Struthio camelus: one gene and its partner. The protein of the gene in region 2 interacts with the protein of the main gene of each other region in a pairwise test. Links are inferred from orthologs where the notes say so. Each region holds a gene or a part of one and is shown on either strand. Other genes may lie near its edges.

Region 1 (7,598 bases), on a different chromosome or scaffold from region 2:
GGCAGGACAAAAACCCCTCAGAATCAGCACCTCTCACGGCAATGTTTCGGGACAATTACTGTTGCAGAAAGCCTTTCTAAGGGATTGCATTTACTGACTCCACAGCGGAGCAAGGCCACCCTGAGGGTGGAGAGGAAATGTTTTGGATGCTTTGTCTAGGTAAGAGTGTGCTGTCAAAAGCAGGCCTGAGGAAGAGAGGCCTCAACCGTCAGTTGGCCTGCAGGGTGCAGGGCCTGGGCCTGCCGACGCTCAGCCACAGATCTAAGCAGAGACAATACTTACGCTTCTCGTTCTTCACGATCCCGCTTGATACGCTTCAGCTCACGTACTTTCCAGGCCTCGTACTCCTCCTCGTCGTTCTCATCATCTGTATCAAGTGCATCCAGTGCTGCCAGCGAACGCTTGTTCTCCTCCAGTTCCTTCTTTGCTTCCTCTTCTACAATCTGCAGCAAGGGTGAAAGTAAGCCTGCTGCAGTGCCCACCCTCCCTGTGCCACCCCCAGCCAGCCCCGCGGTACCTTGAGCGTGTACTTGCGCCTCTCCTCTGCTAGTCTCTTTGCCTCCTGCTCCAGCTCCTTCTGCTTCAAGGCTTCTGCTTCTCGCTCCTGAACCGTGATCCGGTCCTTCCTATAGACAGAGACCACAAAAGCCTTCAACCTTTCAGCGTGAGCCCATGCAGCCGAACCCCTCACAGACTTATCCTGCTCCCGTGCTGCAGTGACCCTTAGCCCTTACTCTCCAAGTAAGAGCCAAGTTCAAGGGCTCTCCCCTTCCTGCTGTTGCCCAAGCCAGGGCAGCCCTGCTAATTCCCCCTACAGCTACAGGCATGCGTGGAGAGAAGAGAGCGCGAGGCACCCGCCGTGGTGCACTACCCTCTGCCAGCTTCCCAGCTCTTTGTACAGCGCTTGCCCAAATGCCCTAGCACAACCCTGCTGCGATGAAACCCACCGGCTGGTCCCACGCAGTGACCTGACACAGCTGCAAGAGCTGCCCGTGGCCGCTCAGCGAACACCCGTTACTCCTCAGCTGTGCCCTGCCAGGCTGGTATTTGTCACCTCCCCTTAGGAGGCAGGCAGTGCTACCGCCCCGCTGTACGAAGCGGAGATCACAGCGGTGACCGTCTGCTTGGCGCCCAGCCGCTGCCTCCTGCATCCTCACACAGGACCGACCTGCCTGACCGTGTCACCTACTTGCGGATGAAGACAGGTTTGAGACGTGGCTCCATTTCATCCTCACTGTCTGTGTACTCCTCATACTCGGACTCTGACTCAGACTCTTCTCCAGATCTACCCTCATCTTCCAACTCCATCACCTCCATTTCCTCGGTCTTCCTCTCCTGCGCTCGCTGGCGCATCATCCCACGGCGACGCTCAATCTCCTAACGGAGGTGCATCAAACACAGAGGAGTCAGTGGAGCAGCCCTGCTACCGCTCCCTTCCCCACAGACTTTCTGCCTCAGGCAGGAAGCCAGTTCCTTTCAGATTCTTTGTGCCAGAAGTGACATGTCTGGAACCTCTTTGTTACAAAAAGATGTTCCCGTCCCTCAGGATGGAAGGTGGCCTCACCCAGCGTCCCACCTCGCAGCAAGAGACAGGTAACCCAGAGTTAAGTCATGGCCAGCTATGGAGTGACCTGCAAGTCCTGAAACTCCCTAGTTTCACCAGATAGCCTTTTCCACACGTACATGGGTTATTCCAGCCTGTGTCATTCAGGGGCTTTCTTAAGCCAAGTCTGTTCAGGTCTGCAAGCATACCTCATCATCGATCTCTTCCTCTTCCTCTTCGCTGGTGTCCTCCCGTTCGAGCCGCCAAGCTTCTCCCTCCACCTCTGAATCGCTGTCTCCAACCACTTCAGGCTCCACAATTTTACGGTGTCTGGCCAGCCTGTAACAGACCCTAGTTGAACTACAGCACTTTGAGCGTAAAGAGACCGCAGAAAGATGGCTATTTGTGAATTGTTCTTAATGAGGCCATAGTAAAAACTGGAACGACTGAGTCTGGGAGTGAAACAGCATGTCCTTTCCTAAAAGGCAGGAGCAGCCAGGCAGTGGCTTTTCCTCCCCATTTGTGTTTTTGGTGGGAAGCCTCCCCTTTACTAGTGCTGAAGGCTGAAGTACCTCTATGGGGGAAGGTAAACAGTGCTCAGATACTTTCTGCCCTGAATACGATTCAGATGAAACCATATCTTCCCGCTAGCCTAGAGAGGTGTCGCTGTGTTAATTTTTATTTCAGAACCCGCTGTTCCCCTGGGCCAGCCAAACCGCTCCTGAACGCGGGGCTGCCGTGACCCTTGGCTTTCAGGGGTGCTCACGGCACAGCGGCGGCCCGCGGCACGATCCAGCACCCGCGCCAACAGCGCTGGAGACCGCTCCCGCAGGGCTGGGAGAGCGCGGCCGTGCTTGGGTGACGGTCAGCGGCAGAGCGGGGCCGGAGGCAGAGGCTCTGGGGAAGGCCGGGTCTCCTCCGGGGGCAGGCGCTGCTCACCGCTCCTCCACGTCCTCGCTGATGCGGTTCTGGAGGCGCCGCAGCCGCGGGTCGTTGGCGAGTTCCTCCTCCTGCTCCTCGGGCTCCACCTCCTGCTCCTTCGCCTTCTTGATGAACTGGAACTCCTCGTCCTCCTCCTCCGAGGACTCCATGGGCGCGTAGTCGGGCCGCTTCCCCGACACGTACCGCTTCACCTTCACCTTCTCCATGGAGAGCTCGCCTGCGGGCGGGGCGGCCGTCACCGGGGCCCGGCCGGCCGCCACCGGGCCCGGGCTTCCCCCCCCCGCCGCCGCCGCCGGCCCCCCCGGTGCCCCGCTCACCCTTCTCGTTGCGGACGGGCACGGCGCCCGCCGTGGACTGGATCGGCGGCTGCTTCATGAGGGCGCTGGGGACCGACATGGTGGCGGCGGGTCGGGACGGGACGGGACGGCGGCAGCAGCGGCGGCGGCTCTGGCGGCGGCGGGCACCCTCCTCCCCCGGAACCGGAACTGCGGCCGCCCCCGCTTCCGGCGGAACCGCCGCCTCCCGCCCCCGCGAGCCGTTGGCCGGAAGTGACGCCACTGGCGGCGGTCACTTCCGGCGCGCCGGGGCGGGGCGGGGGAGCGGCCGGCGGGGGCGGCTGCCGGTGCCGCCTGGGGCCGGGCCGGGGGTGCTGCGGGCCGCGGCGCTGGGCCGCGCCGCCCGGGGGAGCGCCCCCCGCGGGCCGCTGCCCCCCGCCGCCGCCGGCACCCAGGCGACGGGCGGCGTCGCGCCTCGGCGGGCGGGGCGGGGGCGTTCGGCTGCGCCACCTGCTGCGTGTGTTTTCCCCGTGGTCCGCCGGGCGGCGGGGGGAGGCGCTGGCGGCGCAGCGCGGGTGCGGAGTTGCCCCGAAGGGCCCTCTCGAGCGCTGGGGAACGGGGGACGCGTGAGCAGGCCTTTCCTGCTGGCCGGAGCTTCCCTCGGGCCTTGGGGCTCTGGCCCTCCGCTGCTCGGGCTGCGATTTTCTTGGGGCATCTGGTCGCCTCTTCCCTAATCCACGTCCTGGTGCTCAGGGCCTTTGGCTCTATCTAGAGTCTTGGTCTCCGCCTGCTGCCAGCCTTTTGGGTTTCGAATTATTTGCCCGAGGTAGTGTCGCTCTAGATAAAGCACACCATCATGGGGTGAGAGATGACTGAGGCACAGATGCTCACGGCCCCCTTCTTCCAATTTAGTGACTGAACTCTGAATGGAAAAGATGTTCAGCCCGTGATGTAAGTTCCTGCTCCTTCTCCATTTGTGCAGCTAAAGTGGAGATGATGAGCAGCAAAAGCAGAGCCAGCAGCTGCTGTACAGCTGTATGGATATTGGATGTCAGCGGCTCCACGGTGCCACCGTCCCTCTAACTCCTGCAGGGTCTTGCTGAGGCTGTGGGACGCATCCTGTGCTTGGTGGGGCTGCAGAGCTCCTCCTAGCACGGCCAGGGGAACCTGTTGCTCTTTGGGTGGATGGTAGGGTCCGACTGCAGAAGCTGCTGTGGGTTCAGTTCGTGCTGTGCCTGTTGCCAGCCACGCTGGGTCTTAGTTCGTGCTGTGCCTGTTGCCAGCCACGCTGGGTCTTGGGGTTGATGTCTGACCTGAGACAAAGCCTGGAGCTGTGAAGGTTTTTCACTGCTGTGTTGATCAGAGTCTTGTCCCGGGCCCTCCTGCTCTGTAAACTAGCAGCAAACCAAGCCAAGCAGGAGCTTCGCTGCTCGGGTTCGTGTCTTCCCAGGCTGCCAGGACGCCTTCACAGCTCCCTACGCAGCAGCGCTTCTCGCTGCAGCACCGTGAGCACCTGGAGGCTGACTTACCCTGGAGGAGCGGGACTCTCCTGCTGTTCTGTGGGGGGAGATGCTTCTCCCACTGCCACCACTGCAGAACCTCCTGGGGCTTTCCCAGTGCAAGTGACGGGAGGTTTGTGGCATGTGTGTGGCAGGAAGGGCCTGGGGGCGTGGCTGTTTCATAGCAGGGGAGAAAGATTTTCTGAATGTGGCAGGGTGCTGCCCACGTAAGCACGCATTCACCACGGTCATTGCCTCCGAGGAGGTGCTAGAGTTCACAGAGGAAAACGGCTGTTCGGGAACTGATCAGCTTGCAAGAGCTGCCCTGCTTTTCTGTGGCACGGAAAACAAGATTTCTGAAGTAGGGCAAAACTATGTCACAAACCACCAAGCCAACGTCTGCAATTTTGTGCTGCCTTGAAAGAAAGGAAGAGGTTTTTATCTTCCAGGAAACCTAGCTGCAGGACTTGAGCCAGTCTGCGACACATCTCGTAACAGGAATTTGGGAAGTGGGGAGGGATGAGTGCTGTGTTAGCCGTGCGCGTGGCAGGTGGTCGCCCTGCCCAGCCCCGAGCAGGGGCCCTCGTGGGCACGTTGCGGAGGCCACGGGGTGTGATGGGCATTGCTAGAGGTGGATGCCCAGGAAATCCAAAAGCAAGTGTGTTTTCCCAGATGGAGGTTCAGCGCTGGAGCATGCTCCCAAAGGAAAGGCAGCAAACTCTTCCTTTTGGTGTCCTGGGCTGCAGGCTGGGAGGTTTCCTCGTGGGAGGATGTGATTTAGCCAGTGCAACTTACTGTTCTGAGGGAGCGGGGTAGTCCGGGGTGTGGAAGGAAGCGGCAGAAAGTGGTTCTCAGCAGCAGCACTGCCCCTGGGTCCGGGCTCTGCTCGTCGGGGGCCGCGGGGCGTCCCAGGGCTGCTGCAGAGGTCTCCAGGCTGACGCTGCGGGGGATTCTGTCTTGGGGGAGCCTCTCGCCTTGTCCTCGGCCCCTCTGCGAGAGGCGGGGCAGGACCAGCTGGGTAAAGCGGCTCCTGCCAGCGTGGCTAAGGCCCTGGCTGCAGGCCGAGAGCGCGAGGAGGCCCCTGGGCCTGGGGCAGCGCCGCCAGAGCCAGCCCATCTCGCAGCGCTGGCTGCCTGTGGCCAGGGCATCCCGGGCGCAGCCCGTGGCGTGGCGCTGCGTGAAGGTGCTTACTGCAGCGCTCTTCGGTAGCTTTGCGTCTCAGACAATCCCTGTTTCTGCTGGCGAGACCCAGGCAGACCTTGCTGCCTTCGCAGGAGCCTCTGTGCTTACAGGAGCTGGGGGATTTGGCCAGCCTGGCTGCAGAGCTGCGAGAGGAGGAGGGATGGAGCGCTCGGGCAGGGCCCCAGTGCTGTGGGTCTCCCTCGGTGCCCTGCCAGCTTGCGGTTTGCCCTCGCAGACAAGGCATTAGTGGCTTTATAATCCTACAGCAACTGATGCCCAGGAATAAGCAAGAGCTCTCGGTGTTTCTGGCATTTACGTCCTGACGGCAATTGGAGCTCCAGGCCCAGCTCCCTGCTCTGCGTTTGATCATCTGATGAGATATTAATCTTGTGTGGTTATCACAGTGTGTTCCCACCTAATGAATCCAGTGTCACCATGGCAAGGAGTGAGCTTCAACATGTGACTCAGTAGGTGAAACAATTAGACCTAACTGTTAAAGGAGAGCTTGGGAATTGCACACAAAGCACATAATGTGCCATTCAGGTGGAGTTAAAGACCTCAGCAAACAGGGACGGGCTCTCCCTGGCTGGCTTCGGTTCTGGGGGACGGCAGAAGCCTGAAGCAACGGCCGAAAGCAGCCCGGAGCCCGCAGCGTGCCTCCTCTGCCCCGCGTGCCCTTGAGAGCCGCAGCCGAGCTGCAGAAACCGAGTGCTGGAGTCGCCTGAGCTGGTGCAGGGGGGCTGAGGGAGCCTGCTGCGGTGCGGCCTGGCCCTGCCCTGGCCAGGGAGAGCCAGCCCGCGCCGGGCCGGGAGCGGCGGTGTCCTGTCGCTGCTCCTCCCTAGCTGATCCCCTGCGGACAGGGCAGGCTGGCAAGAGCCTGTGCCTCCGGGCAGCGGCCCCAGCCGCCTTCCTCCGCAGACCAGGGACCGATGCCCCTCAGCCCCGGCCCCGGGCGCCAGCGGCGACGTGTCGGCCCCGAGCCTTCAGCCAGCCTGGCGGTCCGCACGGGGCCGGGCTCCGGCGGGGGCGGCGGCGCGGCGCGAGCCTGAGCTGCCCCTTCCCTGCGCTCGCGGAGCCGGGGTGCCGTGGGGCGGCGTGCGAGCTCGCTGCGCCCCGGCACCCGACACGGGCAGCTCCGTTCCCTGCTGCGTTGTCAACTTGCTGGCTAAAACCTCTGCCCGTCAGGCTTTGGACTAAATTTCTTTGTTGAGATCTATGAGCGACCCCCCATGCCTCACTGCAGCCTAAGGAGAAAAAGGGGGTCCTGCCCACGGGCTGGCACGGGTGTTTCCTGCGCGCGCGCACCTGTGTTCCTGTTTGCACTGCTGTTTGTGCTGAGACCCCCGACTGCGGCAGGGACCTTGGGGTGCTCAGGCCAGACAGGGGTGTCCCTTGCCGTGAACAGCGATAAGCTGTACACAGGGCATGAGGTGGCAGGGTGTAAAGCAGCAAAGCTGAAGAGGGGCGGTAGCACGGCGGGCTGCGGATTTGATACCTCGGCGGCCTTATGGCTGTTGACGGCAAAGTCAGAAGGCAGATAAAGTTACAGCCCCCTTCTGAGCCGCCACTGTTTGTGTCTGCAAACTGTACCGCAGGGCAAGGTCAGCGTGTTTGGGGTGGATCTCGAGAATCCCATGTGTGTGACCACAATAAAATGTTATGTCTAGGAGCGTGACTATGAATAGCGCCTCGTGAGCCATCGGGACCTTGCAGACGCAGCTCCAGCCCGGGGACTGCAGCCGCTGCAGCTCCGCACCCTCCTCCCGGCGCGCCAAGGCCGTCTCAGGAACCTGCTGGTAGCGTCCGGCAGTGAAGTGACGTGAGGTGAAGGGGTTGGAGAGATTCCAGAGGAAAGTGGGATCTGCACCCCGAGGTTTGGGAAAGGGAGCAGAACTGTGCAGGAAGGGGGGGCTGGGGAAACGTGTCCGCAGCAACGCGGAGGGCTGCGGACTCAGCCCCCCCCCTGCCGTGGGAGGGTTGCATGGGAGCAGCAGGCAGTGTGGCCACTGCGCTCTAAGTAAATATTTAGTTATTGATTTGGTCCCTCTTGATGTCCTCTCTGTGATGTTATTGCTGTTTGTTTGGTTTTCTCCTCTGTGAGGGCCTCTGTCCTTCCTCCGCTGCCTTTCCTTACGGGAACCCCTAGAGCGCTTCCCT
Region 2 (6,993 bases):
CCACATCTCTGGATCCGCAGAGATCCAGCCTCTCTGCCTGGACGGCCAAGAGCCACAGTTTCTCAGACTACCAGCCACATTGCAAAAGAGCAGCCCTGAGATGCGAGAACTGTCAAAAGTCAGTAGCTGACCTGAGACATGACAGGTTCAGCAAAACACTCCGTACTTCCGGCTGGCCAAGCAACTCCCAGCAGCAGCCCCAACCACTGACTGCACACAAATGCACCTGAAGCCAAACGCTAGGGGATTCCGGATGAAAAATTCAAGTGCAGACTTGGAAACATACCTCCCCAGCCCAAAGAGGAGATGATAGAGTCCTGATTAAAAAAAAAAAAAAAAAGTCAACCATTCTCTTGTCTCAAGGACGATCCCACCCCTGTTTACAAACATATATATATGCAATCACATACAAACTGTTAGCATCCCCCCCCCAACACTGTGCCTTTGCCAATGAGGCCATCAGATCACACTGCGCATGCAAGCAGACCCTTCAAGGGAATTTATCATACACTGCAGCATAATTTCATTTTCTAAAGCAACGTTTACAAAACAGGCAGTGCAACTTTTCGGACACTCACTGTACGCACTACTTTCACCTGATGCCGCAAAAGGCTCCGCAGGGCACAGACCTGTCTCTAATTGTTTGTAAAGCAGCAGGCACACCCAGGGCTCTCTGTAGCAATAACACCACCTGCCTGAATCAATGCAACTGCTTCTATCGCTGACACTTGCTCTTCCTCCTTGTATTTTTATCCCCACTCACTGCCTTTTCCGAGCTGGTTTCCCAGAAGTAGTTTTGTGGAATAGCCCCCTGGAACAGAGATCATCGCAGCCTTACAACACTACCGCCCAGCGGGCAAATGCCACAAATAAACCTGCGTTCACGGCCTCCCCTCCCCCTTATTTCTTGCCCATTCACAAGAAGAAAAAGCCAAGTGAACAGCTCTGAGCGCGTTCCTAGCAGGCTAAATGCAGCAGCGACAACCCCAGCACAGAGACCAAAGCACCCGCAGAAGCCACGAAGCTCTGCACTCACCAGCCTGCCTTTGTTTATTCCACAGACATCTTACCCCACATCCCCCAACTAGTTTGCCCTCCTCTGCCACAAACCGGGCCGTGCAGGACCTCGACGCCTCTGCCCCCGATCCCCAGATCACATTGGAGTGGGGGGAGATAAGGAAGGAAGGGCACCATTCTTCTTCTTAGAAGGTTCAAGAAGCAGTTCAGACCCCAACTCGACGCGTCTCGGTCCCACGCACAGCACGACAAGCAGTTGGCACCGCTTCCCAAATTCCCAGCATGCTGTCCAGCAGTGACCTCACTTGTAAGACAATACACTGTCTAGGAGCAAACGATGACTCCGTGCCGATACAGAGAGCCTTCGTGGGTACAGGCTGCCAGCTTCGTTCTAGCTACGGCAGCTACTCAAAGACAGACGGTCTTCTTGAAGCCGCTTTCAACAACAAAGACTCAGCCGAGGTTTTAGAGCTTGCTTCAGAGCGGGAGAAGACCTGGGCAAAAGCCAGACAGAACAGGCACAGTTGAAGCCATTAACACCCCAGCGTGTCAGGACTTGAGAAAACTGTAGGGCAACAAGACACATTTGCCCTCTCCAAAAGCTCTACAACCCATTCAATGGAATGGCCATTTGCCGCCTGTGAACTACGTTACAAACATCTTTAGCTGTGCACATCAGAGCAATAAAATATGCAGTTGATATGTTTTTGGAGGCAAGAGACATAAATAAAGCTTAAAGACTAGGAATTCAAGTCTTGAGTGTCACTCAGCCACATTTTCTAACAACTTGTCAGATACTTAATGCAACCAAAATACGCTACACTTCAGGACTAGCAATAATATCAGTCCTGCACAGTCAATTAAATGGTAGAGCAATATCCCATGAAATATTGCACAGTCTCTCAGTGAGACAGAGGGGTTAGCATTATTAGAGACATTACACGTGCCCCTTTCCGCCTTGCTTTGCAAGAATGCTAGAAGATTTCTGAAGACGCCAGCCTCGGGAGACCCCCTTATCTTTTAACTTCAATTTAGCTAAACTTTATCATCGCTAAAGCTGTGAAACACTGCTAGCAACGAAAACTGGAGCAACCAGAAAGCAGCCACACTGCACAGGGCTCCCTGCTGACAGCAGTGGGAGCCTGAAACTGAAAACGCAGTGATTTAAAATGTAGTCGCCAGGCTGAGAGGCAGAAAGGATGTGACACACGCGCACACTACCTGGAAAATCAGGAAAAGGGTGGGAGATGCTAACTAAACTGGCTGGCACGGAGAGCTTGGAGTGGGAAGGCAAGTTTGTCCTCTCCGGCTCGCCAGCCTGAAGGCCAACTAGCAAACAAATAGCTGTTTCATACTAGGATGGTTCCGAGCAAACAGAAACGGCTAGGAAGGAAAGGGGACGTCTCACTGCACCTCGCGTTGGCTGGTCTTGCAGGATGGACTCGGCGCACCTGAACTTCCTCCCGTGGAAGGGGAAAAAGGCTGGGAGGGCGCCGAGCGCAAACTCCTCTGTTCTTCCCCACCGAGGAGCGGAAGATGCTTAGGAGCATTTGCAAACACACTTCGCAGCTGGCAGAGCTGCCTGCGCACCGAGCCGCCGCCGGCTCCGGGCGTCGCCGGCTCCGGGCAGGGCGAGAGCCCCTGGCAGCGCCGTGGCCGGGAAAGCACGGGGCGGTGCGGGCCCCCGCTCCGCTCTGCGCCGCTTGCTGCAAAATCGCAACGGCAGCGCCGGGGACCCGAGCCCTGCCCGCCACCCCGCGCCCTCGCCCCCTCGGCGACCGGCCAGGCACCCTCACCCCGGGGCCCCGGTACTCCCGCGGGCTCCGGGCGGCACCCGCCCGCCCTGCTCCGCTCTCCCGGGGCCGCAACCTACCAGCGGGCTGCGGCAGCCTCCCCGCCGCTGCCCGGGCATCTTGGAGACGCGGCGGCGGCGGCGCGGGGGAGACGGCGGCGCGGGCGGCAGCCGGAGCGCGGGGCGGGAGGCGGGCGCCGCGCTCCCGCCGCCTCCGCCCTGCCTCGCGCCCGCCCTCCCTGCCGCCCCCCCGCCCTCCCGCCGCCGCCGCCGCCGCCGCCGCCGCCGCCGCCGCCGCCGCCGCCGGCCCTGCCCGCCGCCGCAGGTGAGGCAGCGCAGCAGCACCAGGCACGGCGGCCTCGGGGCCGCGCTCCCCCCGCCCGCCCCGCCGCGGTGGCACCGAGCCAGGGCGCGCCGGGGAGGCTCCAGCGGGGCCGGGCGCCGCGGAGCCGGGCCGGGCCGGGCGGTACCGCCCCGCGGCCGCCCCTTCCTGCCCCCGGGCGCGCCGTGTCTGCCTGAGCGGCGGCGGAGGAGAGAGGCTGGAAGGCCGGCAGGGAACGGCGAAGCCGCGGGCCCGCGCGGGCCGCGCCCCGACGTGCTCCGGGGGCACCGGCCCGCGGCGCCCGGGGTCGGGGCCGAGGACAGCGCAGCCCTTAACCACCCGTCTTCTGTCCCCCCGCACGAGGAAGAGGAGCGTAGCGTTAGGAAACATTTCTTCCTTGTGCACAGACCAATAGCGATTACAAGGATAGTCAGACATGTACATCAGGCAAAGGCTTTAAATGAGATCCGTGGGGTGTTTTATTATTATTACAGTGGAGGAGATACTTAAAAGTTGAGATTAAATTTCTTCGCAGCAACTCTTAATGTGTTTGCTTTTCCATTGTCCGATACAGCTGAGAAATAGATTAGATTAGTTCCCTCTCCAACCCCACTTTCTAGTCCCGAAGAGTGGGTGGATATTCTGATGTTTTTAATACAGTAAAAAAGCCTATTGGGTAAGTTTATTTTGTTATTTATAAAGTGCATATATACATACATACATATAAGTGCAAAGCAATAACATCAAAGAGATACAAGGGAAGGGGAACCCAGAAATGTAATTTATTCCTTGGTAACAGGCATATATGCTGTACAGGTTATTTATATTTGAAGACTGCCTGGACTGTTAAATGACCCTTCTCTTTAAAATAAATAGGAGGAAAAGTATATCCAGGATCTCGGTGCCGCTCAGTGAGGTAGGAAGAGATCCTTTCAGATGTCAAAGGAACGGTTTAGTGTGCAGGGACCTGCAGCCCTTTCATTTTCTGCCCTTAATTCACTTTGATATCGTCATTGCATGCCCAGACACATAGTATGTGCTTCATTTTTACAGTAAGGCACCGAACACATGGTAGTTGTCACACTGTGAAATTCCAGTGGAAAAAGACAGCTGTACTTTACCGAGTAATAGAAGTCAACATCATAACCACAGCCAGGGTTGTTCTCACCTAGTTTACCTTGCAGAAAAATCACAGATCCTGTTCCCTAGGAGAATCTGACAGTGGGATAGTTAATGTACACCAGTTATTCGGCGTTAAATCCTATCTCTGCTCTTTTGACAGGGAAAACAGTCTGCATTGCTGTGGCCAAGTCACGTAATTCATAGCTGTCCTGGGACTGATTCTTGTCATTTGCATCTGTGCAAACCAAGCGAGAAGAGAACAAACAGCCCGATCAGAGCCTGATAGGGCCCAATTCTTCCTTTGTTTAGACAGGCAGGAAATTAAAGCAACTTTCCTGAATTCAGTGCTATTAATAGGCTGCAGCAGGTACCTGGGATCAGATTTAGTCTGTTGGGCAAAGTTATACATCCTGCACTGGTGTTTAGGGTCACCAATTACCAGGTGCAGAGACCCCCGCCTATGTGTGTACATTTGTGAACACAGTATAGCTTAGATGAGGCAGTACAAGGGGGAGACACTGACTGTATGGGCCAATGGAAACATGAAGCAGCAGGGAACAGCAAAGATAATAGCGCAGATGTGCAACCCAGAGACGAGGCACATCAGGCTGCAACAGAAAACAGGCTGCTAACAACTAACAGATGACTGGAGACCACAAACACCCCATTTCAAAGGACTCTGCAGGTAACCGAGCCTGGATTCACATGGCTTCTGCACTGTGATCAGGGCTGCCAAGGAGCAGCTGTCACAGGAGTCTGGTAGCTTGGCTCAGCCCCAAGCTCAGAGACCTTCAAGCTTCCTCCCAAAGCATGCTGGTGAGAAAGAGAGCCCAGCCAGCAGGCATCATGCAGCAGTAGCCAGCTGTGTGGTATCCTGATCTCACACCTTCTCCCAGCTATGATGACAACCTTACCACATCACTGGGAAAGGTAGGCAAGCTGGCAGGGACAGGGAGCATGGGAGAAACAGAGGCTTTGGAGTTGCTGCTAGGGACGATATGGAGGGGATAAGTGTCAGTGCCTCTCTTTCCTGTCCTCCAGGAATCTAACTACTGCTGTCTCTCTCACACTTGCAAATCAAAGCCCAATGGCGGATGTGCACAGCTGTGGCTCCATCTGTAGAACACACCAAATACCATGGCCCAGGTGGGCTGAGACCTACCAGGCCACAGCTCGGTGTCAGGGGTATTTTAAGCCCCCAAACAGTTTTTCTAAAGGGATCCACAGGAGATAGGATTTTGTCAGGGAACATTACCACCACTGTCAGCTTGATGAGTCCCTAGCCTAGTTAGGCCTCTGGATTACAAACTGGAAGTGTCAGAGGTGACCTTGGGCAAATATTTACAATTACAGTGTTGCTCTATATGTGCATGTGTTCTAAACACAGAAGGGATCAGGTCCAAATGACACTTTAATTGAGCAAGCAGGGCGGTAGGAGGGTAGAGCTCTTTATGCTAATGTGCTAACAACTCAAGAGTGAATCATATTAATTAGGGGTGGGGAGAACATGTCCATCTGCCCGTGAAGTCATTTTGGAGTGTCAAGTGCTCAGCACCTCTTCCAGCAGGACTTGTGCATTTTGAATAGGGACTGACTTGATTTGTGTAACATGCAGCTGTGAGCATGTTGTTAGGACTAAGGGAATCGTGATTATATTGCCCAAGGCTGGTATGTGTTAGCATCCACATTTTACAAATGGGGAATGGAGGCACTCAAGTTATACTGCATGCCTGGGATGCTTAGTGAATAAATGACACAAAGTTATAAAGCGGGACTCCCCCTCTCTGAAATTTGTTCTTGCAGTAGAAAGCATAGGGGGGGAAAAATCCTTTTAAGTTCTGAATCCCTCTTCTTGCTTCTTCCTAAAAGCAGGCAGGTAGTTGTAGAGATGAGCAGGAATGAATGAGCAGGATGAATTCCCCAAGAAGAATCTTCTAGTTTCTTCTTATGTTTTGATAACGTCATTTTTTGAAGTTTCATTAGCACCTCCTGTATCTCCAGTTCTTACCCAGAGGCATTCACTTCCTCCTCCGTCACTGTGCATGGAACAGCAGCTCAGTTCATGTATAGGAAGTGGATACTTTGCACCACCTCATGTTGAGGCCTGGAATTTCAGAGTCTGATCACAATTTCAGTTCTGTCCTGTGATGCCTAAACCAGAGGCCTCACAAACTTGCCCCAAAACAGGCTCTTCTGGCTTAGCATGCACTTTCCCAATGCCTCTGTGTCTTGCAAGACAGCAGTCCCACTGTCATGCTCTTCATTAAGGCTTTATTGTTAAAAGTTTTCATGCAGCAGCAACAGGGCTGAACTGCCTCTGTGTAGTGTTTGAGGGCTGCTTTTCCAGAGGCAGCAAGTTGTTGTCAAATGCATTGTGCATGTCTTCTTGGCACGCATACCAGCCAGAACAGTTTCTTAACCCAGCCCAGCCATTCGTTGTAAAAGACATGACAGGCTTTCACACTACCCTATTTATGAGCAGTTCCCTTTTTACCTTTTCACATGTGAATGGGAGCAACTGAAGGAGGGGAAGGATGCAAAACTCCCGAGTTCAGTTGCTCCCATTCACTTCCCCCTTCTAACCCTGCTGCAGCTCAGGGGCAAGAAGGAGAAGGCAAGAGGGCTCTTTTGAACTGCTGAGGGAGCAGCAGCGTGATAGGGCAAGGTGCTGAGATGAGGCTCCCATTAACTGGGAGCTAGCACAGGACTAGATGCAAGGCGTGCGACTGGAAAGAAGCAG

Evidence for each region.
Region 1: the proteins of MID2 (region 2) and MFAP1 interact in binary tests that used the Homo sapiens proteins (3 or more experiments, as listed by UniProt). The two-hybrid records come from large-scale screens. The link is inferred for Struthio camelus from reciprocal best matches to the Homo sapiens genes MID2 and MFAP1.

The regions. Positions count from the first base shown.
Region 1 is NC_090953.1:487,438-495,035, forward strand, and holds the start of MFAP1 (microfibrillar-associated protein 1), read right to left. Parts: upstream 3,005-7,598; 5' UTR 2,882-3,004; coding exon 2,803-2,881; intron 2,703-2,802; coding exon 2,483-2,702; intron 1,883-2,482; coding exon 1,753-1,882; intron 1,378-1,752; coding exon 1,190-1,377; intron 627-1,189; coding exon 518-626; intron 444-517; coding exon 283-443; intron 1-282. UniProt on the Homo sapiens protein: Involved in pre-mRNA splicing as a component of the spliceosome.
Region 2 is NC_090952.1:2,236,097-2,243,089, forward strand, and holds the start of MID2 (probable E3 ubiquitin-protein ligase MID2), read right to left. Parts: upstream 3,017-6,993; 5' UTR 2,891-3,016; intron 1-2,890. UniProt on the Homo sapiens protein: E3 ubiquitin ligase that plays a role in microtubule stabilization. Mediates the 'Lys-48'-linked polyubiquitination of LRRK2 to drive its localization to microtubules and its proteasomal degradation in neurons.